Arabidopsis thaliana: one gene and its partner. The protein of the gene in region 2 interacts with the protein of the main gene of each other region in a pairwise test. Each region holds a gene or a part of one and is shown on either strand. Other genes may lie near its edges. The genes, in order: GAMMA CA2 and AT4G35320.

The links.
Region 1: the proteins of AT4G35320 (region 2) and GAMMA CA2 interact in a two-hybrid assay, tested with the Arabidopsis thaliana proteins (one study listed by BioGRID).

What each region holds. Positions count from the first base shown.
Region 1 is NC_003070.9:17,314,969-17,331,399, forward strand, and holds GAMMA CA2 (gamma carbonic anhydrase 2), read right to left. Parts: upstream 8,517-16,431; 5' UTR 8,380-8,516; coding exon 8,265-8,379; intron 8,117-8,264; coding exon 7,973-8,116; intron 7,713-7,972; coding exon 7,587-7,712; intron 7,485-7,586; coding exon 7,333-7,484; intron 6,716-7,332; coding exon 6,416-6,715; 3' UTR 5,933-6,415; coding exon of another isoform or gene 5,450-5,932; 3' UTR 4,603-5,449; downstream 1-4,602. Other genes in the region: PAF2 (20S proteasome alpha subunit F2), read left to right, coding at 4,252-4,602, 5,450-5,932; AT1G47265 (uncharacterized protein), read left to right, coding at 9,600-9,830; TLP6 (tubby like protein 6), read left to right, coding at 11,860-11,880, 12,075-12,118, 12,190-12,520, 12,595-12,682, 12,764-12,896, 12,972-13,596; AT1G47271 (Cystathionine beta-synthase (CBS) family protein), read left to right, coding at 13,888-14,109, 14,640-14,721, 14,893-14,966, 15,062-15,122, 15,233-15,375; AT1G47278 (uncharacterized protein), read left to right, coding at 16,295-16,309, 16,397-16,431. UniProt on the Arabidopsis thaliana protein: Enzyme involved in the catabolism of H(2)CO(3) but that does not mediates the reversible hydration of carbon dioxide. Mediates complex I assembly in mitochondria and respiration. Binds HCO(3)-.
Region 2 is NC_003075.7:16,798,232-16,814,171, forward strand, and holds AT4G35320 (uncharacterized protein), read right to left. Parts: upstream 8,600-15,940; 5' UTR 8,352-8,599; coding exon 7,908-8,351; 3' UTR 7,638-7,907; downstream 1-7,637. Other genes in the region: TMT2 (tonoplast monosaccharide transporter2), read right to left, coding at 47-613, 762-840; CPK5 (calmodulin-domain protein kinase 5), read left to right, coding at 4,205-4,958, 5,041-5,184, 5,278-5,430, 5,500-5,615, 5,711-5,878, 5,963-6,187, 6,287-6,397; XCP1 (xylem cysteine peptidase 1), read left to right, coding at 12,298-12,772, 12,867-13,102, 13,192-13,332, 13,429-13,644; AT4G35360 (pantothenate kinase), read right to left, coding at 14,072-14,152, 14,248-14,310, 14,400-14,477, 14,570-14,647, 14,728-14,802, 14,934-15,020, 15,131-15,259, 15,354-15,494 and 3 more.

The DNA of each region.
Region 1 (16,431 bases), on a different chromosome or scaffold from region 2:
TCTATATTCTCAGTGGAGAAGTTAATGGTGACTCGCTGGGGAGTGCATCATGTTGTCCTCCTTTGTTATACTTATAAGAAACATGTTGTTTCTACACTTTCTTTCACCCTTTACCCAAATGCAACATTGGAACCAGTATATAATACTGTCGCCGCATTTAATGTAGTAAACACGTATCTAATATTTTCCAACAGACTGTTCATTTTGTCAAATCGCAAATAAAATGTGTCAATCCAATTATGTAGCAAGTTGCATAATGATGATTACTGATATAACCAAACATTTCATGTAATGTATGATACCTATAAATTGATACTTTGTCGAGCTTATAACCGAATGAATAACATCAAGCCCAATACAAAATTTCTAACTCAAGCCTATTGTTTTCAAATTCGTCAGTATAACTTCGTTTACATACAGAAATTACATGAGTTGTTCTTATATAACGTTCTATTTTACATGGTACTCTGTAAAACAAATCTATCATTAATGGCATACCTAGTATTGCTGTAACTTGTCTTTCTCCTTTGTTGTATACTTGTTCCTTTTAATTTTTTCAAAGAGGAAGTGGTGTGATCGTTAAATGCTACTCATCTCTCTTATTATATTGGGAATGTCTCGATAACAAGTAGGGCTACAATATACTAAAATATTTTTGGGCAACAGTGCTGACAAGCTTTTAAGCCACATAATTTTGAATAATTATGATTTTCCTCTAAGCTCTCGCAGGGCTGCTAATCGACGGAAGCAGTCGTCATCAAACTTATTACTGAATTGTATTAAAATTGCATGCATAACAACAATAAATCATGTTTTTTAACACTAGCACATACGTCATGCGCGACGTGTCGTCAATCTGGTGGATGGTTAGTGATTCTCCTTTGTTATATTTATACGAAACATGTTGTTTCTGGCCTTTGTTCCACCCCTTCCCCCAATGCAACATTGGAACCCGTATATAACACTATCACCGCATTTAAGGCAATGGATACATATCAAATATTTTCCTACGGACTCTTTACATTGTCAAATCGCAAATAAAATGTGCCGACTAGATTATATAGCAAGTTGCATACTAATGATTACTGCTATTACCAAACATTTCATGTAATGTATGATCTCTACAAGTTGATACTTTGCCGAGGCTATAACCCAATACACAATTTCCAACTCAGGCCTATTCTTTTCATACCGCGTTTGCATATAGGAATTACATGAGTTGTTTTTAAATAACGTTCTATTTTACAGTTACCAATGACCTTTTTATCTGTTAGTCTTCATTAAATAACTAGTCGCATACAAAGTAAACATCTCTATATATATGGTCCGTTTTTGGCATATCTAGTGATATAAGTTAGGGTTTAAATATCAAATGCATCTGTAATTGAAAGTATGTGGTTTATAGAATTAAAAAAAAAAGAAGGAACAAATACATATATATATATATATATATATATATATATATATATATATCGTGTGTTTTATAAATAAAGCGGATTACTCATTACCTACGCATGTTTACGTTCTCATTAGTAATTGAAATCTATAAGTTATGTGGCTCATCCAGAACAACGCCATATATAGATGGCGTGTGTTTTATAAATAAAGCGGGTTACTCATTATCGTGTGTTTTAAATGCTACTCATCTCTCCTGTTATATGTGGAATCTTTTGCTACGAAGTAGGGCTACAATATATTAAGACATTTTCCGCAACAGTGCTTACAAGCTTTTAAGCCACATAATATTGAATAATTATGATTTCCCTCCAAACTCTCGAAGGGCTGCTAATCGATGGAATCTGTCGCTTCTGTAAATGTCGCATCAAACATATAACTGAATTGTATTTGAATTACATGCATAACCACAATAATTCATGTGTTTTAACATTATCGCAGACGTCATGCGCGACGTGTCGTTTATCTGGTGGATGCTTAGTGGTTATCCTATGTTATATTTATACGAAACACGTTGTTTTTGGAATTTGTTTCACCCCTTCCCCCAATGCAACATTGGAACTCGTATATAACACTGTCGCCGCATTTAATGCAATAGATACGTATCAAATATTTTCCTACGGATAGATTTACATTGTCAAATCGCAAATAAGATTTGGCGACCATATTATGTAGCAAGTTGCATACTAATGATTACTGATATAACGAAACATTGCATGTAATGTATGATCTCTATAAGTTGATACTTTGCCGAGTTTATTGCCCAATACACAATTTCCAACTCACGCCCATTGTTTTCATACAGCGTATGCATATAGGAATTACATGTGTTGTTTTTAAATAACATTCTATGTTACAGTTACCATTGACCTTTTTATCTGTTAGTCTCCATTGAATAACTAGTCGCATACAAAGCAAACATCTGTATATATATATGGTCCGTTTTTGACATATTTAGTGATATAAGTTAGTGTTTAAATATCAAATGCATCTGTAAAATCTAAAAGGTATGTGGTTTATAGAATTAAGAAAAAAATGAACAAATACATCTATATATATCGTGTGTTTAATAAATAAAGCAGGTTACTCATTATCTACGCATGTTTATGTTCTCATTGGTAATTGAAATCTATAAGTTATGTGGCTCATCAGGAACAAAAACATATATAAATGGCGTGTGTTTTATAAATAAAACGGGTTACTCATTACCTACGCATGTTTATGTTCCCTACATATAGACACCTAGTGTCGGAACTCACGAGTTCCCGTCTATTTTTCCAGGTTATTTTGGTTATTTTACACCCCAAGAAAAAACTATTTACTAAAGTTTTCTGACGTATGACTATTTTGCTAATTTGTATGTCGAATTTGGCTAGTTAGCTAATTGACACAATTTTAATACTCTTTGTTTCCAACCAAATAATACAAGATTTTATCAAAAACAAAATATCAAATTAAAAATCTAATAACATGTGACTTTATTTGTTTAGATTTCTAAATTAATTTTATTCCAAACCAATTTAAACTACACATGCTAAATTATTAATTTTCATAAAATTAGAAATAATAAAATACAATAACTTGTAATTCCCTCTAGTCCATGAAGTTTGATGTTTTAAATTTTACTTTTGTTTCACAAAAGTTGATGTTTTAAATTAATATTATTTTCATTAGTGATCAATAGAGAAAGGAAAAAAAGTAGAACTGATATTATTAAATTAATTAAAAAAATAATAAATGAATTATAAACACGAGAGGGAGGCAAGAAAAAACTACTACAACAAGAGCACCATCATCGGAAAATACTTCATGGAGAAAACCGACAGTTTCTTTTGTCAAGTGCAATTTCGATGCGGACTTACACAGGAATAGTACTTAAAGTACGGGTGGATGGATTATACGAGACCATGAAGGGATAGCAAACACATGAGGATCTTCAATTTTAGATCATGTCAACACTCTCCTAAAGGCTGAGACGAAAGCGTTACTTGTGGCGATGCAACAAATTTGGATACAAAAATACAAGAAAGTACAATTCCAAAGAGATTGCGAAGTCCTCATTAAAACCATCAATGGCAAGTCTAATAGAAGTAAAATTGCTAATTTACTTCTAGATTTAGAGTATTGGTCTTCAGATTTTCATCTATTGTATTTACTTTCACAAAACGTCTTTGTAATAGTATAGCTCACCATTTAGTTTTCCTAATTTTACGATTTTTGTGTTTTAAGCGGACTATTTTGCTTCCCCAATTTTTACGATTTCTGTGTTCAAAGCAGACTTTAGGAACGAGCCAATTTGGTTCAAAAACCTTCTCTGTAATGATCTACATTCATAGATTAAAACATAGTTTGCAGTAAGAAAAAACAATAAAAATAATATAAAAGTTATTTTTTTTAATTTGTGAAAAATCCAAAATATCATTGTTTTAGGATCAGAGGGAATAGTAAATTTATAATCAGTGTAGTGAAAAATGTGTAAATAAATAATGTAAAACCAATTGAAACTGCAAATGTTAAATTATGAATTAAATTAATTACTATAAAAAGAAATAATATAATGCTAAGTATTTATTTATAAAATTATAATCCTTTTAAATGTGTAAAAAATAATAAAGAGTAATGGATAATTAAACCCAGCCCATTAAGTTTCATAAGCCCATTTTACTCTACTGTCTTCTTTCTCTTTTTTTTGACAATCTTTACTTTCTTCTTCTAAGCTCTATAAGAGAGACCATCCTCCTCTAGCTTGAAGCAAACGAAAAGCTTTTGAAGAACAGAGGAACAAGAAGAAGAAAGATGTTCAGGAACCAGTACGACACAGATGTGACAACATGGAGTCCCACAGGTCGACTATTCCAAGTCGAATACGCCATGGAAGCTGTGAAACAAGGCTCCGCAGCAATAGGACTCAGATCTCGCTCTCATGTCGTCCTCGCTTGTGTCAACAAAGCACAATCAGAGCTCTCTTCTCATCAAAGGAAGATCTTTAAAGTCGATGATCATATTGGTGTTGCTATTGCTGGTCTCACTGCTGATGGTCGTGTTCTCTCTCGATATATGAGATCTGAGTCTATTAATCACTCTTTTACTTATGAGTCTCCTCTTCCTGTTGGTCGTCTTGTTGTTCATCTTGCTGATAAAGCTCAGGTAAATTGAGATTTTTGGGTTAACTTTTGAATTTTGACCTAGAATTTGCTAAAGGGTTTAGTTTTATGATGTGTGAGTATCTGAAAGTTTGAAGCTTTATGTAATTGGAGTAAAGTTTAGGTTTTTATTAGCAATGTGGCCAATTTTATTTGTAGAATGTGTGTGTTGTTATGCAAGTAGTGATATTGGTTTGTGATCAAGTCTTAGTGATTGGGAATTAGAGATTCTTGTGTTGTTAATCATATCCAGTTCTGTTGCTAGTTGCTTAATCCGATTAGAAAGAGTTAACCTGTATACCCACTTTGACGATAGAAGTGTATAAGAATGTGATGATTTTGGTCGTTTGGTTGTTTCTGTGTTGTCATCGTCTGTTCTCTTTGCTTGATAGAGTTGTTTTTGCTTGCAATTCTAGAATAAATATACGTCTTTGTTGATCTCTTTTTGGTTTTGTGGTTTTGACTTGTATTACTTTGCATTTGTTTACTTACTTGTAGTTGTAGTATGTCCTGGCCACTTTATTTACTTGCCTAATGAAGTATATTTTCAGTAAGATGTTGGTTTACAGTTGTGATAGAAATTTGTGCTACATGTTCACTACTTTTGGTGTTAAACGTAGTGTTCTCAAGTTAGATGATGTGTTCACAATTTTTAAAAGGTTTGATTGCTACGTCCCACTTACTTTCATGTCTGTCAAAAATTAAGTTAGCTGCTGTATCTACATTTTCAATTGATTTCTGAGAACGTATTGATATCAGTCTTGTAGTTTGAACAACACTCTGATTTCATTCAAATGTTAAGTCATTTGTTTGTCTTGTATTAAACATCTTCATAAATTATCTTTGAGCAGGTATGTACCCAACGATCATGGAAACGGCCTTATGGTGTGGGTTTGCTGGTAGGTGGATTGGACGAGTCAGGAGCTCACCTCTACTACAACTGCCCTAGCGGAAACTACTTTGAATATCAAGCATTCGCTATCGGGTCTCGTTCACAAGCTGCGAAAACCTATCTGGAGCGCAAATTCGAGAGCTTCCAAGAATCATCAAAAGAAGATCTGATAAAAGATGCTATTATGGCCATAAGGGAAACTTTGCAAGGGGAAACACTGAAGAGCTCGCTCTGCACTGTTTCTGTTCTAGGAGTCGATGAACCATTCCATTTCTTGGACCAGGAAAGCATTCAAAAGGTGATTGATACGTTTGAGAAGGTTCCTGAGGAAGAGGAAGATGCTGGTGAGGGTGAGGCCGAACCCGAAGCTGCTCCTGGTGCTGCTGGAACTGGTGAACAAGGTGGTTCAGGTGATCAAGATGTTGCACCAATGGAAATTTGAGCAAGAGGGAATGAGTTCAAAGTTGGATTTTCTAACCAATTTTCTTGTGTGTAGCTCTTTGATATGTTCCAACTTCCAAGTACAATTGTGGTTTTTATTCGGCTTTGTTTATTTAACAGCTTGGAACAAGGAGTTATTGAGTGCCACTAGCTTATGTTTAGTCCTACTTAAGTCAAATCTGTCACATGATAATAATAATCGGCGAATCGCCAACCTAGAGAGTGTATCAAACAGACACCATTTTGAATGAGAGAAACAGCGAGAGAAAGAATGAAAGATTAATCCAACTTTGTTTCTCTTTCTGCAAATTGTTCCTCGAAGAAATGACTTCATAATGCAACCATACATTATTGAGCAAGGATGATAAATCTCCTGCTTGCTCGGAAGAAAAGTTAAAACCAAAATAATATCTCTCTTGACCTTCCAGAGAATCAATCCTGTCTTGAAATGATTTCAACACACAAAAACAACCTGAGATTGGAATTAGAAGTACTGAGTAGACGGAACCTTGGCGACGGGTTTACCACCTGGTAAGACATTGTCGGGAAGAATCAACTCCGGTGGAGTTTCACGGGTAATCCCAAGCATTGAATCGTAATCCTCGTCCTTGCGTGCATACTTCTTCCTAAGCGCTCTCTCAACCTCGATCTGCTCAAATGACTTTGAATTCTCTGAGGCGTGAATCTGTGCGAGATTGATGTAATTCTTTGCTGACTGTGAGATGTATACTATCTCTTCATCTGTTAACTTTCTCATGAACTTTGCTGGATTTCCTCCCCACACCTGCCACATGAAACTGATAACTTATAGATATGTCCTTGTAAATATATTCTCAGGTTGACGGTTGAAGAAAGTAGTTCAAAAGCATAGCGATATAAGAAATCCGTCTAATTCCTCATAAAACATTGGAAACACAAGAACCCTCTGTTACTCCCAACTCACCCTTGTTTCATATACAAGTAGAATTGCAACGGAAACAAAGGTGGTTCTCAGATTTAGACGATATATAAATACTATTTACTCTTCTTTTTGATCAAAATATAATACAATTTACAGGCATATCATTTCATTAACTAATTCTGTATCAACTAAATTGTAAGCAAAGCAAAAGTGGATCTACTTGAAGAAGTTCAGCTGGTCAAGCCTTAGCTACAGGTCAGCGTAGGACTAAATGCAGCAGACTACAGCTGCTATTACTTGGTTAATTAGCAGTTCGTTATTAGGCTTGGTAGAGCTTCAGGGTCCGTGATAAGTAAACCTAGCTAGAGTTCTATTTTTGGTTCTTGATACTTTGGATTTTCTCGTTCAGTTTAGTGAGAAATAAAGCAGTTTCCAGTTCCAGTCTTATCACAAACTCCGTAAGCAGTAAACCAGAAAAGATAAAGTGGAAAGAAAGAAACCTCTCCAGAAGGGATTCGCGTGTTCTGTTTCACAAGAGAACCAGCAGCAACCATGGCATGTTTCTCAACCACCACACCATCAAGTAGTGTTGCTCCCATACCAACAAAAGCATCATCCTCAACAGTACACCCATGAATGACAGCACTGTGACCTGCTCCGTTTCATTTTACAAACAAAACCTTTAACTAACAATCGTGTAACACAACATAAAAACAGATACTTCAAAACTGATAAATCGCTTTTTAAGGTTTACCTACTGTTACATTGTCCCCAATCAGAGTAGGTAGAACCTTGCCACTTATGTTGGTCTTTGCAACATGTACAAGCGTATTATCTTGGATATTCGTCCCAGATCCAACACTGATGTTATTCACATCACCTGCACAAGTTAGAAACCCAGATTAACATACAATAAGTTTCACAGCTACTTCATGACACATTTTATCGACAGTACAATAAATCTATGTCCAATGATCAGGACAGTAACGTATAACAGCGATACAAGATTATTAGAAGGTAAAGAGAACTTCATTTCCTAAAACTAAACTATGACTACTTTGCACAATATACTGCTGCAAAATTTGGTACTTCTATCGAACCAAAGGCCATTAAGACTTTCTAGAAGTAATAAAGCCTCACCTCGAAGAACACAGCCATACCAAATCGACGAGCCTTTTCCGATCTGAACATCACCAATAACAGAAGCACTCGGAGCCACAAACACATCTTTATCCACCAATGGTGATTTATCAAACACATTCATCAACGTCCGATGCCTCGACACTGAAAACAAACACAAATTTCTCGAATCAAATTTTTTCAATCTAAGCCACAAATTTCTCCAATCAAAGGTGAAGACACAAATTAGAGATAACGAATTGGATCTAGGGTTTCAATAGAGAGTATTAAGTGGAAGGATCTGGAAGCTTACGATGTTCCTCGATACGGTGACTTCCTTGAAGAAGAGAACCAACGCGATCAAGAGCTTGACCAGTTCCACGAATCCAGTTACCCACAGTGTAAATTGCTCGTCCTAGGGTTCCCATTTTTTTGTGATTCTCCGATTACCCAAAGTGTGAAAATGAGAAGGCTTTGTTGTTTTTGGTGTCGCTCCACCAGATAGAGAGAGGTTTATGGAGGCGTATTGATGGGAGGATTTTTTTTTTTAACTCGAGTGAGTTCGTTTATTTTGTTGACCTCTAAATTTTTAGAGTATGGAGTGGTAACTGGTAAGCTAAACCAAACCGAAATTTATTGGTTGGACTTACAGAGATTGTGAATACAAAATCCGGATAGATTCGTTTTGCAATGTAAGGAGATGGAACAAAGCTTTCAGGAGACAAACACAAAAATGAGTAAAATAATTAATATAATTTAGCAAAGAAAATAAAGAGATAAAAATAGAGATATTAGCTTATATTGTGCATTGGATATTGGAAGTATTGCATAAAGCAAAGAAATAGTTTTTAGTATAAGGATTGGAAAAAACATTGTTTGTATCTAAAATGGGGTCAAGAATGTAGAAGATGGAGTTTCTTGGGTGTTTTTCTTGGAGTTATACTAGAAAGAAGTCGGGCAAGTGATATTTACGCGTGGGCGATTTCTCTCTCAAATTTTTTTCTTCTTATAATCACAATCTCTTGTTCCGTCAATAAGTTTTTTCGTTGACTCCAGCGACGAAGAAACCCATTGGGACATGGTGCTTCAACCGTGATCCGCTACATCTTCTCGGCAATTCAATCTATTCAAAATCAAGGGAGCAGTGGAGGGCAAATGCGGCATTAGGGGAGTGCAAGAGGAGCAATTGCACAGGATCCAAAAATTATTTGATCAAAATTAAAGGGTAAAATAAAAAAATTTATCAAATTTGAGGTCAAAAAGATAATTTTGACTAAATCTGAGGGCCATAATAAAATTTTAACTAAATGTAAGGGCCAAACTCAAAATATTTAGTATAAAAGGGCTAAATTTGAAAATTTGTACAGTGACAGAGAATATATTGAGTTGGCCCTGGTGGAGGGGAGAAGATTATGCGAGACACTGTCGGTAAGAGCTATATCGGTGGTGTGGCTTCACGGAGAGGAAGGATGAGACTTCACAGTGAAGAACAAGGGCTGACGGCGGTTAGGTCGGAAGTCTAAAGATTCTGGAGGTTTCATTGGGTCGCCGCTTGATGGGGGAGGTCGACTCCGCTTCGGTGAGGCTTTACCACCGTCGATGGTCTTGAGATCTACTCACTACTGCCGTCAACTCTCTCGACTGAGCTATGAGATTCATGACTATGGCAACCCGGATCGCCTCTTCCTCCTCAAAACTGCTCTACGGTGGCAGGAGGACAACGGATCCTGAATTACCATCTCCGTTCGACGAATCTCGTCTAGGCTCCCCAAAGGGTTTCTGTTCCGGTGAGATTCTGCAATTCTTGGACGGCGGCTCAGATCGTGTTTTACGATATGAGATTAGGATTTTCAACTTTCGGTTTAGATCGGTTTTGTAATAGATGGTTTAGTCTGGTTATATGTAAGTGGATTGAGTCTAAGGGAAAATGTATGAGCCTAAATCCGGAAATAGTCCATTGGACCTTATTTATAACATTGAAAACCATTTTACAAAAAAAAAGATGGAGTCTCTTTTCTTAGGGTCTCCACCTCTCTTTATAGTCTTTTCCTTCCTCCTATGTATCTTTATTTGGCCATTAGGTACATATCTAGCTCATAAAATAACTCTCATAATTAATTCGTAAACTTGAATGGCAAGTTTACTCCTTAAACCATGACCATTAATTCATAAATTTAATCACAAATTAATATCAAGATTTAACCACCTTTCTTATGCAAGATGTACATTCTTTGCTCTGTAAAGTGATGGAACTTGGATGCGTAAGATGGATTTGTCGTGCGCGATCCGGTATCAACATAAGCTTGAGTTCTTTGAGTAAGGTTATTTGCTTGAAGACTAATATTCTTGTAATGCTGTTGGATATGAATTTGGATTAAGTAGTTGCGAGGTGACCTGACAAATACGCCGTGAGAAGGACTTAGTTCAAGTGATTGCGAAGTAAACCCAACTTATGCATCATGAGATGAGCTCGGTTTGAGTGATTTGTGAGGTGGAATCGATATATGTGTCGCGAGCTGAAGAGAACATCGAATATGCTCTTTCCGAGTTGGAGCCTTAATCCTGAAATTTGTAACGAAAGTTGGTTACTAGAGGGGATATTTTGAGCCTTAGGTGGTTTGATGCCACCGACTAATAAAATATTTGCATGATACTTAGAGTATGCTATGAGTTTTTTTGTTTTCATTGTGAGGATAAGATCTCGAAAAATTGTGTCTACAAATGTGAGTATAATCTACCCTTATACTCTGTGAATTCAACTTTTTGGGGTAAGGTTTGTTTTTTTGGAATGTCTATAGCTGCTTAGGAATCATAACTCCTTTTAGTGTTTACTGCTTTTGGCTGAACAATCTATCTTGGATTGTTTCGAGTTACTGTCCTTTTTAGTTTTAAGTGTTGCAGTTTGATGGGTATAAACTTGAAGGGTTTATAGGACGGTTTCAATCTTCTACTACTACTTATGGTTGGTTGATACGTTGGTAAGTAAGAAGCTCTCTTGACATAAGCATAAGATGGAAGCTATAAGTTCAGATGCGAAACTTAGTTTTCGTTTCCTGTTCTTATTGAGAAGTCAAGATGTTTGTCTTTCAACACTGCTGCCAGGGCTTCTACCTTCTCCTTTGGTAGTTGATCTTCTAGCATCCTGATCCTTCTGTTTTGTACATGAACCTTGATTCAGTCTTTTAAAAGTTCATGTTCAATCTTTTTATATAGACGTCTTTGTAATGTGTAATATCATCTCTGTATCATGGATGTTTGTACAATATTTCATATAAATAACAACACCTTTTGGCAAAAAAAAAAACAACATCAAATTCTTGTATTTACTTAGTTACATATAATTCAATTTAACATACACAATAAAATAACCTGATACGTAATATTTCTTATTATTAATTTCTTTGTAAATTTACTAAAAATTTAAAATACACCTTCAAATATCATATTTCGTGCCAATTAATAAAATTTTAAAAAAATCCAGTTGTAATTAACTCTCAAAAAAGCAAAAATTATCAGCTAATAAATAGTTTTACAAAAAAAAAATCCTATTTTGAGTAATTTACTAATTTCAATTGAAAAACATGAGCCGCGCTTAGTCTTTTTCCGTTTTACTAATTAAAAGAAAAAAACCCATCTGTCTTCTCTTTTTCTTCTTCCTCCTCGAAATCATTGCGGTTACTGTCGTCTTCCTCCTTCCTCTCCTCTTCGGAATCGAAGCTCACGACGGCGACAGTAACGGCATCGGAGAGGTGTTGGTGTTGGTGGTTCATTTAACTTAACATTTTCGAGAAGAGAAGGCTTTTAATTTCAAATTCCTCGCTGAATTTTTCTTCTTCTTCTTCGTCTTCATCGGAAGAAGAAGAATCCAAAAACTTATCTCATCTGCAGAAATATAATTGTGCTTCCCCATGGATTTGTCGCTTTTGTTGGTAACAATAATTCTCTCTTCCTCTCTTTCTCGTTTCTCGATGTTTTGTTTATTTAAAACTTTCTCGAACTCTTCACGATATTGCCGGAGAAGCCGGATCCATGCTCTTTTCATGATTTTGCTTTCTCCAATGAATAAAGTTTCTCTTTGGTGAATACTGAGACATTTCTGTTGATTTACTTTGTTCATCATCAGCCAAAACGGAGCTGGGAAATTTCTGGGGGAGCAGATAAAATCAGGTACAAATTAGGGTTTTTGATTTGGTCTCTCAAACTCTCAATTACAGAAATTATAATAGTTTTGTTTGTAGCAGAGTAGCAATGTCATTGAAGAACATAGTGAAGAACAAATACAAAGCTATTGGTAGAAGAGGGAGGTCACACATTGCACCAGAAGGATCATCTGTGTCTTCTTCTTTATCAACTAATGAAGGTTTAAACCAGAGTATTTGGGTTGATTTGCCTCCAGAGTTACTTCTTGATATAATCCAAAGGATTGAGTCTGAACAGAGTTTATGGCCGGGGAGGAGAGATGTTGTTGCTTGTGCTTCGGTTTGTAAGTCATGGAGGGAGATGACTAAAGAAGTTGTTAAAGTTCCTGAGCTCTCTGGTTTGATCACGTTTCCGATTTCTTTAAGACAGGTTTGTTACTCTTGACCAGTTTGTCTTATAATCGATTATCATTGTGTCTAAAACATTGGTTTTGTTTGGCTTAGCCTGGACCTAGAGATGCTCCAATTCAATGCTTTATTAAACGTGAAAGAGCTACGGGGATATACCGTCTCTATCTTGGTTTAAGCCCTGGTTAGTTTTACTAGTTCACCTTAAGAACCTCTTATGAATTGAGTTTGGACTGTTTTATATATCACATTCGTCTTCTTATAGCTCTTTCCGGTGACAAGAGTAAGTTGTTGTTATCTGCAAAGAGAGTCAGGAGAGCGACGGGTGCGGAGTTTGTTGTATCGTTATCGGGGAATGACTTCTCGAGAAGTAGTAGTAATTACATAGGAAAACTGAGGTAAAGTCTTCTTCTTTTTGTTCTATATGATCACCATGCCCATCTATTATAAGTCTTGTTGTGTGTGGTGGACAGATCAAATTTCCTGGGAACGAAGTTCACAGTCTACGAAAACCAACCTCCTCCGTTTAACCGAAAGCTCCCACCATCGATGCAAGTGTCTCCATGGGTATCGTCGTCATCTAGTAGTTACAACATAGCTTCAATCTTGTATGAGCTGAATGTTCTGAGAACCAGAGGTCCAAGAAGAATGCAATGTATAATGCACAGTATCCCGATTTCAGCGATTCAAGAAGGCGGCAAAATCCAGTCGCCAACGGAGTTCACAAACCAAGGAAAGAAGAAGAAGAAGCCGCTGATGGATTTCTGCTCAGGGAACCTGGGAGGAGAATCCGTTATAAAAGAACCATTAATTCTGAAAAACAAGTCGCCGAGATGGCACGAACAGCTTCAGTGCTGGTGTCTAAACTTCAAAGGTCGAGTCACAGTCGCCTCGGTGAAAAACTTCCAGCTAGTGGCAGCTGCTGCAGAAGCAGGGAAGAACATGAACATACCAGAAGAGGAACAAGATAGAGTGATATTACAGTTTGGGAAGATAGGCAAAGACATTTTCACAATGGATTATCGTTACCCGATCTCTGCATTCCAAGCTTTTGCTATTTGTTTAAGCAGCTTCGACACGAAGCCAGTCTGCGAATGAAGCAAAACATATCATATCAAATTATATTCTTCTATTTGCAGTTTGTGTGGTTTAATGTACATACTTTTCCCTCTTGGAGCAATCAAACAATCAGATCTTTTTTTTCATTCTAAAAACTTTAATTTCTTCTTAATTTTTTAATTAAAAGTAATTAACGTTTGGTTAAGGTAAGGTATGTTTTAGTCTTTCATTGGAAGCAAAGAGTCATCACCTTTCCTTTATTACAAAACCCAATCTCTGTTTCATTTATTTTTGCAAAAAGTACAATTTTGAACCTAATAAGATTATATAATGAAAGCTTTTGTGAGAGGACTATTAGCAAGAGCTAATGAGGTCCCAAAGATTCATCAGAGGAAGGTATCGGCCGGTTTTGGTTGCTTAACTTCGCCTCCGCCGCCGGAGAAAGGGTTGGAGAATCTGACGGTGGCGGATGTGCTCTCCACGAAGGATACTGACATTGATACGTGGATCTCGTGCCGTACGAATGACACTGTTTCTGACGCTGTTAAAAATGTTCGTTCAAACTTCTTTCTTTTTCTCCGTTTTTATTGTTTGCTCATCACGTTACACACGCATCAATTAGTACCCATGAAAACGAGATTTTTAAAACAATGTATCAATTTTATGGCATTAGTTAGCTTAATATGTTTTTGGGGTACAATTCTTTACCTTTGGACATTTAAGCTGCCATAAGTCTATAAATCTCGAACTAAAAACTCATACAAGAACTATTTTATTTACTTATTAATGTTAGGTTCGTTGCCTACTCCACGTTGTTCTATGTCCCAGCTAATAAAATAAGACGTGATTAATTTCCACATTCGGTGCAATATAATACCTATATGTAGTTTATGTCAATGTGTCATGTATACACGTATGTATATGTCAAATTGTAAATCAGACCAATGTTTTCGAGATATATTTCTATTTTATGTATAATAAGTAAAGCACACATATTTGTATATTATGTCAATTTGTCATGCATATATAAGATATATGCGTAGACCACTAATCTCGTTGGTCGTGTTAAAAACAAAAAACAGATGGCAAAGCATAATATTGGATCGTTGGTCGTGTTAGAACCTGGAGACCAACAATATATAGCAGGAATTGTCACAGAGAGAGGTATATATAAGCTTTCTTTAATAATGTTCTTTCTACGGAAAAATACCAAAAAAAAGGAGTTATGAATATGATCACCCAATACCTTGAATGTTGTAGTTAACAGTTAAAACACACAATTTATTAAGAAGGGTTCTTCATTTTGTGACTAATTATCATCACAAAATGAAACAGACTATATGAAAAAGATCATTGGGGCAGGAAGATCATCAAAGCTTACAAAAGTTGGAGAAGTTATGACAGACGAGGTCAGAATAAACAAAAGATAAAACTCTCAAGTTAATTTTTCATTTTGTAAATTTTCGTAATTTTAAGTAAAAGAATTGGAAATGATTTTGGCCAGAGCAAGTTGGTTACTGTTTCATCTGGGACAAACATAATCAAAGCAATGCAGCTTATGTCAGGTAATTTACTATATATACTTACATATATATATATATATATATCTAATCCAAATTGTAAATTATGTTTTGAAATTGACAAAAGAAAATTGTGTTTTTTTTAAATGATGTAGAGAATCACATAAGGCATGTACCGGTGATTGACGGAAAGATAGTGGGACTGATCTCTATGGTTGATGTGGTTAAAGCCATTGTGGACCATCAAAATGGAGAGCTCAAACGTTTGAATGAATTCATCAAAGGAGACTATTACTAGTTTAGAACCCTAGAAGAAGCAAAGCTTCAATAATACATACTATCAATAACTATGTAAATACAGTTAATAAAGGACTAATTATTTTAACAGATTCCCTAGTCTAAGTGATTATGAGCATAAGCCGATTACGACTATAAGAAGTTAGCACTTAGCATAAAAACATTTAGCGCTTAAAAACATTTTTAGAGTCAGAACATATTTATGAAACTTTAATTTAGAATATCAAATAGTATTGTCGATTCGATAGTCTACTAAAAACCATAATTATCTTACTAATCACCTTTTAGGGACTAAAAAAAGTTCTAATGATCTTGTAGATAATTCATCCTGTCACCTTTTAAGTGTGATGATTGATGAATGATTCTAACCAAAACCAAAGAATACTAGAAAAGTATTTTCAATGATCGGATTCTTTACTGGGCTCAAAGCCCAATGGGCTTTAATAATAATAGGGTTTAATATTATTATTTTTTTTGTTGGGTCTAAGGGTTTTGTAATTTCGAAGCTTCTCTCTCTCGTTTCTCAATCTGCGATTCACCATTTCTCTCGTCTCGTCGTCTCTCAGAAATCTTTGTAAGTGCTTCGTTCCCCATTTCTCTCTGATTAGATTTTGTGTTTGTTCGTTTTGCTTCGATTCTGCGATTTTTGATTTGCCCAATTAGATTCGATTTCGTTCTATGTTCGGATCTGAGACCATTTGTATGTTTAATTCTTCTTTGATTTTGGCTTTGATGTTGATTCCGATCTTGGGTCTTTAAGTGTGTTCATCATTTGTTTTATCTTCTCATATGGTTTCTACAAACTTCTCAACGTCATAGAAATGTATAATTGTTAGTGTTTCGTGGGTTAATCTCAATGTTCTTACTTTCTCTTGTTGTTTAAAGGCCTAGGATTGAATCTGTCGACGAAAATGTGATATATGAGTGTATTCAGGGTAAGGGTAGCTTTGTGGGAAACTTGATATGATGCTGCAGATTTGATTTACTACTGTTTTTTTTTTTTATGGTTTCTGGTTCTTTAGTTAGTTGAGAGAGCTATAATGGGGAGAAAGGCTGG
Region 2 (15,940 bases):
ATTGGTTTCATTGAAAGAATTAGAGTCAGAACGATTTAAGACTAACCAGACACATCTTCGCGACCACGCAGTCTCTGAAGAACCCGCTTTGCTTCAAGCATTCGACCTTTGCTCACGAGCCACCTTGGGGACTCGGGCAAGAAGAAGACCGTGAGGAAGAAAAAGACAAGGGAAGGGATGAAAAGGACACCAAGCATCAATCTCCAGCTAGGTGATGGCATCAACGACATTCCGAAAACCATACAGTAAGATAAGAACATCCCTCCAGAGCCAGTGAACTGCGGTAGCGTATTCAACAGTCCCCTAATCTCAGGTGGTGCAGTCTCAGATATATAAATAGGAACAAGTGTGACCACAAGACCAACCCCAAATCCATCTAACAACCTTCCTAAGAGCAACACATAAACATTCGGAGACCATAGCATTACTAGAGAACCAACAAAGTAGAGAATTGAGGACAATATTAGCATGGGACGGCGACCAAGCCAATCAGCTACCCCTCCAGAGCATGTTGTAATCAGAGTAGCACCAATAAGTGACATCGCCACAATTAGACCTTCCACTGATGGATTACTCTCCAAATTAAACTCCTTTTTTATGTACAACACAGCTCCTGCAGAGTACCCAAAGAAAACTTAAAATCCATCACACAAGCAAAAGAGATAAGCTAAAAGATCTGTGAATTGTATCCATAAAAATCCTGACTTTATCGATCCTAAATTTCATAAACAGAATTATGGATACAGAAGATAATCAATCACCTGCAATAGTTGCGTTATCCCATCCTTGTAACAAGTTGCCAACAGCAGCAGCAATAGCAACAAGCACAGCTCCACTCATAATTCCGTCTTCTATCTTTTATCAAGAAATCTGAAGAGAATTTCGCAAAAACAGAGTCACTGATCAACGACGATGAGTGAGTGAAACAAAATCCACCTGAAAATTCGAAAATCAGACACAATCACTTGGTGAGCTAAAAGATAAAACAGAGAGAGATAACACCAAAAAGCATGACCTAAGACTATAACAAACCCTTTAGTGACGTAAAAGACACATACCCAAAGGAGTTCTAGAAAAAAAAAACAGAGGTGAAACCTCAGATGTCAAAATCAAAACTTTGAATAAAATTTGACTACTTTTTATCTCTACCAAGTAGAAGAGAAAGTAAGAAAGTACGAGAGAATATGATATACAGAGAGAGAGATGAAAACTAGGGTTAGCAACTTGGAATTGGAGGCAGAAGAAGCCACTATCAGTGAGCCGCTGCTTCAATGGCGTCACTAAGCAATCATAAAGCATTGTTTACCCTTTTGGTTTAAATCAAAAAAAAAGAAAACGAAAGCTAGATTTCGAAGTAACCGTGAGAATATAAAAATGAATACTTTTTTTTTTTGTGCGGAAGGACAGTGAACAGAGAGAGAAGCCTATGGGATTAGTGACACCTGCCGTTTTGCTCCTGTCCTCTCAAACCACGTATGTGTATTGTGTGTGTATGTCTCTCTTCTCTTTCTCGTGTTTGCGTACAGAATTTTTTCAGAGAATTAAGTACATCTTTAAATTTTGTTATCTTTTCGATTTGGGTCCACGAGTTTATTCACGGGCCTATACAATCAAATTAATATCTCGAAATGTTTCTGCTTTTTACCATCTTCGCTTTCATGAAGTAAAGGTAAAAACGGATATTAATTTGGGATTTTGTATGTAAAAAGATGAGTTTAATGTCGGCATAATTGGGGAAAAATATTTGGTGTTTTTTTGTAAATATGAAACAAATATAGGATTGGTTTTTGAAATCTTAGATTCATTGGGACTTATACGAGAAACTAGAGATAAATATCTGAGTTTTCTGAAAACAAAGTTATTGGTAAAGTAAAGTTTAGTTTGTTTACATCCGGAAAGCATCTTCAAATCATTTCAACTTTACATAATTAATCAAGAAAGAAAGAAACAATGCAATAATGGAGAATAATGTCCAAAGTCCAAATACAATGAGACACTTTAACTTTAGTTAATTGTGAGTCGTATTCGTATGTTACAATATAATGAATAGTTTTTTCTTCTTCACTTTACTATTCTTCTTACAGATTAAAAGGGAAGAAAAAGAATGTATAAAAAATCATATTGAGTTTTTTTTTTTTTTAGAACCGAGTACCAAATTCGATATACAGTCTCTAATTCTAAATGAATAACATTAACAAATTTTGATCAACGAAAAACAAACCATGTGACTACGACAACTACTGGTTTTCTGAAAATAAATATCTATCGTCCGTATATCAAAACTTGATATGTATAAAACAAAAGATATATTGTTAAACGTCGTTGTTAAAGTTCGTATATTTGACCGCAAAGATTACCATAAATGTATTTAGAACATAGGAAAAACATCTAATTGGTTAATAAATATTTATGACTCCATATTTCTTAGATATTTTCCGGAAATGAACGTAGTACAAGCGTTATGTTTGGAACTACAGTACACACCACAGAATATAAACACGCAATAGAATCTTTTTTCATAGACTTTGAAAGTTATGGCATGTGAATGCGAATATATAAAGATTCTTGTCCACATCCTCAATTAATCATCATCATTGCTTCTTAAAAATTCCGTAGAATGAGGAGAAACGTACCATTTATGTTTACTGGTAGTAGTGATTACTGATTTAAGATATTATTCTTGGGAAAGAAACATCTAGTAACAACATTTTGAAAAGAAAAAAATCAGAATGATTATTACGGAAAAATGAAAAATTCAATAACGTTATGTTTGTCACCAAACTAATGTTAAAACGAATTCAAACCAAGTTGGAGAGATGTTACAGGACAGTTTTGCTAAAAAAAATCAGCCAGCACATTGATACAAAACCCAAAATATAATTTTGCTTGTGTACGTGGAGGTGTCAAATTTGATTCAGTCTTGTGAAAATGTCAATTTGATAGCGTTTATAATTAAAATTTTCGGTTCTTTTTTTTATCTGGAATTGAAATGTGTAATATGTTATCATTTTAGGCCTTATTGTAAGGTCTAAAGTCTAAAACAATACAATAATACGGCCTTTGGGGTGTCTGAATTTTGTATTTGAACATTGGGCTGGATCAGTGAATAAACAAGGCCCAAAAGTAAAACTTATTAGGGATTATGTGCGGGGCTCCAGAAAGTTGCAATATATGGAAAAGTCAATCTCTTACGTCATAATAGTCAGTGACGCCATAATACTGTTTAAATATTTGGCATATCTTTATCTTAAGAAAAAATCTCAAGAGATTACTATTCTTTCTGATAGGAGATTGAATGAACGGTTGCTTCTTTTACAAGTAGATCACATGTATTTAAATTAGTCTTCTCATACGACGAGAATAAAACCATCGTGCTTAATACTTAAATTTTTTTACAATTAACGGTAACTAGTAAAACCAGAAATGCATTTTGATTTTGTACAAACCAACATTCTAATTTTAGTTTTTTTTTTCAATTACAATTTAAACGATAAACAAAAGAGAAACTGGTTTAAATTTAATAATGCAAAAGCAGAAGAAAGAAGGTGAGAGGAAACAGCGGAGAGAGACAGAGTCAGAGAGGTGTAGAAGTAGTAGCTGGTGAGCACTAATAAAAGACCTTTCTTCGCTCAATCGCCGCCGTAAAATAAAACACCATCACATTCTCATCCAACGAATCTAATCTATCCGACCAAACCAAAGCTCTTAAAAAATCTATTTTTATTCTTACTTCAATCTCTGAAATAAATAAACATAAAATATTGTAGCTTTCCTTTGTTGTTCGACTTTTCTCTTTTGTCTCCCCTAAATTTAGTTTCTCCTTTTAAGTCAGATTCCTTCCTAATCCCATTCTTTCAGTCTTCTCTTTCGCCCTTCTGAGTTCAACAACTGGTAACTAGATCCTCTTTTTGCTTTACTTCATTCTCTGTTTTGTTATTCCTTTAAAAGATCCATCGAAACTTCTTAGCTCTTTGTCTTTTTTTTGGTTATTTTGACTCTTTGATCTGATGTGGGTTTTGCGTCTTTCTTTACTTGTGGTATTGTTAAAGTTCGTTACTTTGTTCTCGTTTAGCTTCTTGTATTTGGTCTAATTTAAGTCTTTTGACTTTTGACAGTGTTATCTCTATGAACAGTTCCTTTGATGAAGAACACAAAGTGAAAGTTGCTGTCTTTATAACCAGGATTTGGTAATTCCCATTGTTTCATGGGCAATTCTTGCCGTGGATCTTTCAAGGACAAACTCGACGAAGGCGATAACAATAAGCCTGAAGATTACTCTAAAACCTCTACCACCAACTTGTCTTCTAATTCCGACCATTCACCGAACGCTGCAGACATCATTGCTCAAGAATTCTCCAAAGACAACAACAGCAACAACAACAGCAAAGATCCAGCTCTTGTTATTCCTTTAAGAGAACCAATCATGAGGCGTAACCCAGACAATCAAGCTTACTATGTTCTTGGTCATAAGACACCAAACATTCGTGATATCTATACCCTTAGCCGCAAGCTAGGTCAAGGTCAATTTGGAACGACTTATCTATGTACAGAGATTGCCTCAGGCGTTGACTACGCTTGTAAGTCAATATCCAAGAGGAAGTTGATCTCTAAAGAAGATGTTGAGGATGTTAGAAGGGAGATTCAGATAATGCATCATTTAGCTGGTCACGGTAGTATCGTGACGATTAAAGGAGCTTATGAGGACTCTTTGTATGTTCACATTGTTATGGAGCTTTGTGCTGGAGGTGAATTGTTTGATAGGATTATTCAGAGAGGACATTATAGTGAGAGGAAAGCTGCTGAGCTGACTAAGATCATTGTCGGTGTTGTTGAAGCGTGTCATTCGCTTGGTGTGATGCATAGAGACTTGAAGCCTGAGAATTTCTTATTGGTTAATAAGGATGATGATTTCTCTCTCAAGGCTATTGATTTTGGGCTATCTGTCTTTTTCAAACCAGGTAAAGTGTTTGAAGCTTTTAGTTAATGTTTTGCTTAACTAGGCTGGTAAAAGAATCTTATGAAACAGAATGTGACTTTCAGGTCAAATATTCACTGATGTTGTTGGAAGTCCATATTATGTTGCTCCTGAGGTTTTGCTCAAACGTTATGGGCCTGAAGCTGATGTGTGGACTGCTGGTGTTATATTGTATATATTGCTAAGCGGAGTCCCACCTTTCTGGGCAGGTATTTGTCATTTTCCATGTTAGCCTGTTTCTTAGTCATGTAGAAAGTCTAAGTCACCTGAAATGTGTTTTGTATTGTCGTTTTTGGAATCAGAAACACAGCAAGGGATATTTGATGCTGTGTTGAAAGGATATATCGACTTTGAGTCAGACCCGTGGCCTGTGATATCCGACAGTGCTAAAGACTTGATCCGCAGAATGTTATCCTCCAAGCCTGCAGAACGTTTGACCGCTCATGAAGTCTTGCGTACGTATTCACATAAATGATTACTTATAGTGACAACCAAACAGCATTAGACTAATATCCTTTTTTCAGGTCATCCATGGATCTGTGAGAATGGTGTTGCACCAGATAGAGCACTAGATCCAGCTGTTCTTTCTCGTCTCAAGCAATTCTCTGCAATGAATAAACTAAAGAAGATGGCTTTGAAGGTGAGTGATTTTGTGCGTAAACCCTTTATCTTCTTTGGTCTCTGCATCACTTCTCATGAAACTGTTTGTTTTACTCTTTGTTTTGGGCTCATCAGGTTATAGCTGAGAGTCTCTCGGAAGAAGAGATAGCTGGTTTAAGAGAAATGTTTCAAGCAATGGATACTGATAACAGCGGGGCAATCACATTTGATGAACTCAAAGCTGGGCTGAGAAAATATGGATCTACCTTGAAAGACACAGAGATCCATGATCTTATGGATGCGGTAAAAATCTAACCTTATTTGGTTAAGTACATTGACAATGAAGTATTGTTATGTATTCTTACACTCAGCTCTTTTATTGACCAGGCTGATGTAGACAACAGTGGGACAATAGATTACAGTGAGTTCATTGCAGCGACGATCCATCTCAACAAACTAGAGCGGGAAGAGCATCTTGTTGCAGCGTTTCAATATTTTGACAAAGATGGAAGCGGTTTCATAACAATTGATGAGCTACAACAAGCGTGTGTTGAACATGGCATGGCTGATGTTTTCCTTGAAGACATCATCAAAGAAGTTGATCAAAACAATGTAAGCTTATATGATGATCTGTTCCACATTCCTCGCTAGGCTAATGTCGAGGCATCAGCTGATAAAAAGTCTTATCGGTTCTTATGTTGGTCTGAACAGGATGGAAAGATTGATTATGGTGAGTTTGTGGAGATGATGCAAAAGGGAAATGCTGGTGTTGGAAGAAGGACGATGAGAAATAGTCTAAACATTAGCATGAGAGACGCGTAGAGGTTGTTTTCCCCGGTGTTTAATATGTTAGTGCGATCGTGACTGCGAAAATGTTCTTATTCATGGAATCAACAACCTCAATGCTCACCACCTAGAAGGCGATGAAAGAAGACCAAACCGGATTCATACCTGTGGATGGTTCGAGTTTTGTTTAACGACTGTGTGATTAATCGTCAAGTAGTTTTGGAGGTTTTTTCTTTACCTCTTTGTTGTTTGTTCATTATGGCCATTGTTGAAGTTAGTGAGCTTTGTTCATCATCTGCCATTGTTAAACTTTGTTCACTTGTATTTGAAAAAAACAAAAATGTCTTTGTATGTTGTGTGATTTCTAAGCATTTTTACTTTGAAAATCTATTTCTTCTTTTCTAGACGATCACGACCCTTCATCCATATCGGACTACACAACTCGATATTGAATAAATTTATATGAGAATAGTACCAATGGCCTATGATGTGGAAGATGATGAGCTAGCAAGTCTCAATCATGTAAATGAAAGTGCTTTTTCTAAGTAATCTGTATTTAAACTCAAATAAAACCAAAACTCAAAGCTGTTCCAAGCAAATTATTCATTGGCCACAATCTGTAATTTGGAACATTATGCACCAAAACCATTTTTAATGTATTTTACATATACAGGTTTTTTGGTACTTCTCCTATACACATGGCATATTCATATTAACAAAAAATATTTATTTTGGTGTCACTTTTCATATTTTATTAGTGTAAAATAACCTCTTCTTAAGAGTAACGTATGGCAATTTGGTCAGCTTTGTTATTTAAAAATTATATGTTAATTAGCTAAAATACGATCATTTGTACCCAAATTCTCTTAATTTAAAACTAGTCCGACTTGAAAGTAAAAGTTTAGTTTAAACTATAATCAGAACAATAAATATCAATACGCCACCGACGATTTGCTGCCACCGACAAATGTTTTGTCGGCCACACGCGTCTCAGTTTTATGGAACCGAACTCTCGTTAATACTTTGCTTTTTTACATACCATTTTTGTTGAAAACCCCACAAAATGGGAAAATAATTCGGTGAAATATTTTAGATTTTTAGTTCTACTTGTATCATGAAATTAAGAGTTCTTCGACATAGATTGTTGTTATCATCAATTATCATTATGATCATTGTGTATATGAAACTATACAACGAAATTCAGAATCATAATTAGATAGAAGAATCTCATGTTGTTTTTCACATTAAAACCAAAAAAAAAAAAGAATCTCATGTTGGCGCGTAAAAGATTAAAACGAAAATAACGGATTTTTCTATATAATTTGCATGGTTATTAAAATACAAAAATACAACTGCACAGCCACAAACTCGTAACCACAAATAAAATAAATAAATTGATTAATAATAATCTAGGCAAATTAATTATAGCAAAATACAACATCAAGTTTAAAAAAAAAAAGACGAATTATACATTCATTATACTCCATTGCACAAAAGTAAAAAAAGAACAGACAAATCACAAAATCTCAACCTTATATGAATCATTTTATCGTTGACGCTTGTATTTGCAAGAAAGAGGAAGAGAATCTTCTGAAGAAGGTCCCATGAAATTACGGATCTGAGATCGGAGTTTGAAGAAAACGTGCATTATACTTCCTCTGTTTTGTGAACCAATCGATTTAGCTTCGTCTTTGTTAAGCTCAAGATCTCTGATGAATATAGGTTTTCTTGAAAGGATCCATGACCAACCCCATTCCCACCATTCTTTCACAGAGCTTCCTGCTTGTTCTCCCATGGCGGAAACAGATTTGGATCTCGGGAATCTAGCTGCGATCGCTGCTGGTTGGTTTGAGAGGTTGAGTGATAGAGAAGAGAGACGACGGCGGATGAGACCAGGCTCATCGTCGGCGGTGGCTGCTGCATTAGGGCGTTGAGAAACGGGGAGGGAAGTGGGTTTACGAATCTGGAGAGTCTCCATCATTGAGCTCATAACTTCTTTGTTCTTCTTTGTGTTGAGAGAGATTGAAGAAGAAGATGAATGTGAATGTGAGAGATTGATTAGTGAACACAGCTCTAACACAGGCTGGGGTTTTATTCCACTTTATTTTTGTGGGGTCCATTTACTTTTATGCCCCCAGCCAATTACATTCATTTTGTTGTTGCTGTTTGTTTTTGTATTAAATAATTTGTATTGTTATGTTTATTTGTTGATTTGTATAGTTAGTTGTTTTGTGTATGAATGAATGCACCTATAATATTGGAAATATAACAATTTTATTTTTAGTGAATATAGATAAACATTGTTTTCAGGTAGGGTTCCATCACAAGTCACAATACAAATTTAATTAAAAAAATTCTTTGTAATTTTATTTTAAAGGTTATTTTCCCAGTACAGAAATCTGTTGAAATTGCATTGGCTTTGATTTTTTTATAATAAAAATCAGAAAAATGTAGCAGAATCTGTCCAATGTCCATAGCCAAGCAAATTTATGTTGACAGAAAAAAGAACAATCACATACAAAAATCCAAAAAAGAAAAAAGATATCCCAGACGGGCCTAATCAGGTATTAGACTAAGGCCCAATAAATTTCAAGCCCAAAATCGAAATTAAGCACTTTATTCTTTCTTTTTTTAATAGCTATCGAGTGTGTATGTTCGGAGAAGAGATCACAGAGATCTGAGAGCTTGAAACAATGGAGTACCGGAAAATCAAAGATGAGGTTCGTTACTTCCATTTCACTTTGTCTTTCTGCTGCTTTTAATTTAAGATTTGGACTCTCTTTAATGCTCAATTTTGTTCCGAGCTTCTTCAGGACGATCATGACGTTGCTTCTGATATCGAGAGTGTGAAAGGAAAATCTCATACCGGTGAGATATTCTTTTCTCAAATTCCACTTCTCGTGTTCTTTAATGTGCTCATTGGTGCTTTGATTTGACAGTTGCTTCGAGTAACATTGCAATGGCTACTCTGGGTGTTGGATCCAGTGAACGGATCAACTGGAAACGAAAGTAAGTTTTTTTCCTTTGTTCATTTTTTTTTTGGAAAATTCAAGTTCTTTAAATAGCTTGTGTTGAATTAGGGGTGTAGTAACATGTGCACTGACGATTCTGACGAGTTCTCAAGCGATACTTATCGTGTGGTCGAAACGAGCTGGGAAGTATGAGTATAGTGTTACAACCGCCAACTTTTTGGTGAGTTTCATAGATGCATTAAATTGAGTGTACTGTATGTGTTGCAAGCGAGGCCAGTTTTGTGTGGTTTTTAATCTCTGAATCATGATGATATAGTGATTTTGTTTACTCTTTGGTGGACATCAGGTTGAACTCTGAAATGTGCGTTATCTCTTCTTGCTTTGACAAGGATATGGAAAAATGAAGGTGTTACTGACGACAACAGGTAGCGAATTATTTTGTTACTCAATCTGTTGTTATCAGTTTTAGAGAAATTTCCATGAGTTTTATATCTAATTCCTCTTTGAACATGACCGTAGATAGCTCACTGAATTTTTCGTTACTGATACCCAAATCCTGTCTCTATAACAGGTTAAGCACAACATTTGATGAAGTTAAAGTCTTTCCAATTCCCGCAGCATTGTATCTTTTTAAGAATTTGTTACAGGTGGGGTGTCCTGAGTTTGTTATTTTTTTCTGTGGCTTTGGTCGATTTTTCTTAACTTATGTTTTTCATGTTAATATGTCTCTAACTACTTGTTGTGTCACCTTTTACGTGGCAGTATTATATTTTTGCATATGTAGACGCCCCAGGCTATCAGATATTGAAGAACTTGAACATCATAAGTACCGGTGTCTTGTACAGAATTATACTGAAGAGAAAGTAGGTTTTTTTAATCATCCAAATGGATTTAACAGCTTCCAATGAATAGTTGTTCTGGAAATCCATCAGTGAGCTGTTTCAGTTTCCTTCAATTCTTGCAAGTGTGAACTGCTTTGCTTACTATCTTCTCTAACAGATTGAGCGAGATTCAGTGGGCGGGTTTCATTCTATTGTGTTGCGGATGCACCACTGCTCAGTTGAATTCAAAGTAAAACTTTACCCTTGATTTTCATATGAATTCTATTAAATTGAGCTTTAACGATTCTTGCATATGATGCGTAACACACAAAAGCTCATATCCGGTTCCTGCTCTGTGAACTTTCAGGTCTCTGCTGATTTTTCCAATATATGTCTCATATTTGAAATTGCTTTTGCAGTTCTGATCGTGTTCTTCAGACATCTCTTCCTGGCTGGACTATGGCAATTGTAAGCTGTTAGCCCCCTTTGCAAGCTAATATCAACTAAGAGTTGTGAAGCAGCTTTCATGTCCACATCAATTAATATAATCACTCGTTGTTTCTAGGTCATGGCTCTTTTAAGTGGTTTCGCCGGAGTGTACACAGAGGTGGGATATTAGGACTGTATACTGTAAATACTCAAAGCTGATTTGGTTTCTTTTCTCTGTGTGTGTGTCAACACTAATACAGTATAATTGGTTCCTTCCATTGATAAATTAACTTATGATATATAAAGCTTATAAAGGTTTTGCTTTCCATTTTGGCAGGCCATTATTAAAAAGCGACCTTCAAGGAATATAAATGTACAGAACTTCTGGCTATATGTCTTTGGGATGGCTTTCAATGCTGTTGCTATAGTGATCCAAGATTTTGATGCCGTTGCAAATAAGTAAATCCAAAAACCATCCTCTTTCATACTTGCTATAAAATGCCAGAACATACTAGTACTACACCTCTATATCCTCGGTGTCCTATAGTTCCATTATATTATACTAACTGCGTATTATGCTGTTATGACTCTTCTGTTCTGGTATTGAATGGGATGGTTTTCCATTTTCAGGGGATTCTTCCATGGTTACTCCTTCATCACATTACTCATGATTCTTAACCATGCTCTCAGGTAAAAGCTGCTTAAGAGGCCAGACTTTTTTCTTAACTCTGATGTAAGTTAGTGAAGCTAACACCAAAACACTCTTTTATTGTTTGTTTTGAAGTGGCATTGCTGTGTCGATGGTGATGAAATATGCAGACAATATCGTGAAGGTAGTGTATTTGCAAAAAAATGCACATTCATTCCCCTGTCACTTTTTGACACAGGGTTTAACTTTATCAATCGGTATGTAGGTTTATTCGACATCAGTGGCGATGCTTCTCACCGCAGTTGTCTCTGTATTCCTCTTCAATTTTCATCTTTCCTTAGCCTTCTTCTTGGGTTCAACGTAAGTTAACCACATTTGCTTTTGCTAATACAATCATCTCAACTTTTGATATCAAAAGTAGCCACCAACATTTATGCACATAAGAGCCACTGACTGCGTAAAAGGTGTCTCATAAAATGCATTACTGTGTTTGCACTTTGCAGGGTCGTCTCTGTTTCAGTATATTTACATTCCGCAGGGAAGCTACGATAGTAAAGATCTTCACACTTACATCTACCAAGAAAACACCATTATTCTAGTACAGAGATAAAGCTTTTGAACGATTACGATTTTGTTTTTCGTGTAGGTATATTCACATTTGTGCTTCTGTATTGATTTTTTTTTCCGTCTCATGAAACCTTCTATTCTCATTTGTACGATACCAAAACTTATCAAGAATAGTTACAATTTCAGAAATTTTAAGCCTCTACGTAATTTTTTTTATAAAACACCCCTCCGGATATTTTAATAATCATTAACTGTCTGAACGTGAAGCTGTATGTTGAAAATTGCACGCTTAGAACAAAAGGCTTAACCAAAAATGATCCAACCGTGAAGACTCGGAGACCGGCGTACTTAGTTTTTAAATTAATCATTGTCTTTGCTTCAAAGCCAATCCTATGAGACTTTGTCTTGTCTCCAACTTGTATATAAGCTCTATTCCTCTACTCTGTTTCACACCATCTCTTCTTCTTCTTCCTCTTCTCTCAGTGAACAAATTTGGCTATGGCTTTTTCTGCACCATCACTTTCCAAATTCTCTCTTTTGGTTGCCATTTCAGCATCAGCTCTCCTCTGTTGTGCTTTTGCCCGTGATTTCTCCATTGTTGGATACACGCCGGAGCATTTGACAAACACTGACAAGCTTCTAGAGCTCTTCGAGTCATGGATGTCAGAACACAGCAAGGCTTACAAAAGCGTGGAGGAGAAGGTGCACAGGTTTGAGGTTTTCAGAGAGAATCTGATGCATATAGACCAGAGGAACAATGAGATCAACAGTTACTGGCTCGGTTTGAACGAGTTTGCGGATTTGACCCATGAAGAGTTCAAAGGAAGATATCTAGGACTTGCAAAGCCACAATTCTCTAGAAAGAGACAGCCCTCAGCTAACTTCAGGTACAGAGATATCACGGACTTGCCTAAATCCGTAGACTGGAGAAAGAAAGGCGCTGTGGCTCCTGTCAAGGACCAGGGTCAATGTGGTAACATTTCTCTCTTTCCATCTTGGTCCCAGGTATATAGAACAGAACTCAGAGATTCGAATAGCTATCCAACGATCTTATTTTGTTGCTGCAGGTAGCTGTTGGGCATTTTCAACAGTTGCAGCTGTCGAGGGGATCAACCAGATCACAACAGGGAATCTGAGTTCGCTTTCAGAGCAAGAACTCATAGACTGTGACACAACTTTCAACAGTGGCTGCAATGGAGGTCTCATGGACTACGCATTCCAGTACATAATTTCGACCGGTGGTCTCCACAAAGAAGATGATTACCCTTATCTCATGGAGGAAGGAATTTGTCAAGAGCAGAAAGTAACAAACACTAGACACAAACATAATCAAAACTTAACACTGGGAAACAGATTTTTTATAAACACTGATCAATCATGAACCTTACACAGGAGGATGTGGAACGTGTGACAATCAGCGGCTACGAAGATGTCCCTGAAAATGATGACGAAAGCCTGGTGAAGGCTTTAGCTCATCAGCCAGTCAGTGTGGCTATTGAGGCTTCAGGAAGAGACTTCCAGTTCTACAAAGGGGTATATAACAGATGATTATGATATCGAAATTGTGTTCTATGTATCCAATCTTTCATTCTCTCAAAAACCGATTTGGAGATTTTTGTTTGTTTACAGGGAGTGTTTAATGGTAAATGTGGAACAGACCTAGACCACGGTGTGGCAGCGGTTGGATATGGTTCATCAAAGGGATCTGACTATGTTATTGTCAAGAACTCATGGGGACCAAGATGGGGAGAGAAAGGGTTTATTAGGATGAAGAGAAACACTGGTAAACCAGAGGGACTCTGTGGAATCAACAAGATGGCCTCATATCCTACCAAGACCAAGTGATAGATATACCTTTGTTCCTGCATCCTACCTTTTTTTCTTTCTTTCAATGCATTTCTATTGCACATTATATTGTATTGATGAATGTGAGATTTTAAAATAACATGGTAAGAGTTCTCTTACCATTTTTCTGACTGCACATCCTCCAAATGCTCATCCAGCTTCAAGAAACCTAAAAAAACATGACCATAGAGCTACCTCTCTCAATAAGATCATGTTCTCTACAAATATGAAACTTTCAAATACCAGATAAGGTCCAATCAGAAAGATTGGTGCTTTTTGTGTGTGTTTGATAAAGAATGTCGAAAGAGTTTTCAATTCTTACATCTGAATGCAGAGATAGAGATTGGATCTCTAACTTACAAAGCCTAACAGTTTTTAATATAATAAACTGAATGGCTGGTTTAGTAAAAATGTGTGTGAAATATAATTAAATCTGAACTTCATTGTATTTGATGACACAGTCATAAAGCCGTCCTCCGAGAAACTGTGCTACTTCTGGATGCTTCACCTGCATAACAAAAGACCAGACTTGAGTAATAAGGAAGAATTAAGAAACATGTAACTCTTTTTCTATGTAACGCCATGGAATTATAAGTTTAATACCATTCCGATCTTGAGGGAATCACACTTGAACTGAGCATAAAGGTTTGTCTCTATTCCACGGCCCTGTACAGGACAGTCAAGGAGTCAGTTTGTTGATACCTAAGACTAGATAACACATAGTTCACCAACTTCACGCGATTAAAAGGTCTTACCATGCCTTCTAAGATGACCAAGTCTGCATCGCTTGAGAGGTACGCAACCTCCTGTGATACTCTTGCAAGATCAATAACCTGCAACGGGATAGAAAGGATAAGAAATTTTTTACAGGAATTAGTGATAACTTGAAGTTCAATCTTCTTGTGCGAGCTTTTGAATAACATACCGGTAAGTCATTCCCTGAATTTGCAATAAGAAGATTTGAGGTATCAACACCCATCAATTGTCCATTTTCATCATTCAGCTGGTAAATTAAGACTCAGTCAGGGTCGAGTTTCTTTAATCTGTAATGGACGAGAGTACCCAAATGACTCTATTCATCACCTTAGACAAGATCTCTGCAAGCTCGATATAAGTTACATCGTTGATAGACGGAAGCTCATTAGCAGCCAGTACAACCTTCAAAAGGGAAGGTGCAATGAGGAACAACTTAGAAATATACATAATAAACAACTTCTCACAATCAAAAAGCCAAACCAGAGAACAAAATGTCCATAGTTGTGCATAAAAAAAAAAAACTGAGGAAGCACCTGCATTCCTAGACGTAGCATTTCTCTAGCAAAGGGCAAGATACCCAAAATTATGTCTGCACCAGAATTATCGACAAATATCACAGCCTGGCATGAAAAAGAGAGAAATAAAACAAATCAGTGTGTCCTGCGATAAAACTCCTGAAGTCATGATAAAGCATAGTTAGGACAAAACAGAGAGAAGTTAAAGAAGTGACCTTCTTCCAAGGCTTCTTGAGCCATCTAGCTTGAAAGTTATCCAAGTCATCAATGACCCATGGTCGTGAAACCAAGTTCTGACAGCTAGCCAAAAAGGACATGCCGTCTTTTGAGAAAACCTCAGCAAGCTTCAATATGTGAATAAAGAAACATAAGATCCACTCATTAAGATACTCAACAAAACAGAGAAGAGTATCATGAAAAGAAAGATATGACATATACCTGTGCAGAACCCAGATCAAAGATGTTTCCAGCAAATATCCCTCTGACCAGATTCTCTATGCGCTTGCCTTCATCGTTAATAGCATCACTCAAACGGACAACTTCAGGAAATAGTGATATTGCCTTTGCATTCTCCTCATCCTAAATGAACTCTTTCGATCAGCAAAGAGTGCAAGAGAATATAATGCTTTTTGAGAAAATCCTTGTCAGGAAAACCACACCTTAACTTTCTTAAATATGTCCCTAAATCCCAATTCTCTTAGTATCAGCTCACGAATTCTGCAGAGAAGCTGCAAAAATAAATCCATGAACAACAAAGCTCTCTACAAGCATTTACTTTACAAGAGGAAACTATACTTACAATGCAATCCGGTGGACCACCATGGCTCTCCGGATCTTTCTTCAGGTCCTCAAGAATCTCCGCATACCTTGCGAGAAATCAAACCCAAAATTGATACTTTTGAGCGAATGAGCGCCTCTTTTAAGCAACTATGAACACACATGTGAGAACACAAAAAAAAAAGAAGATACCTTTTGGCAAACTTTTCAGCTCGAACAGGAGCATCTGGAACGGTTGTATCGCTCTC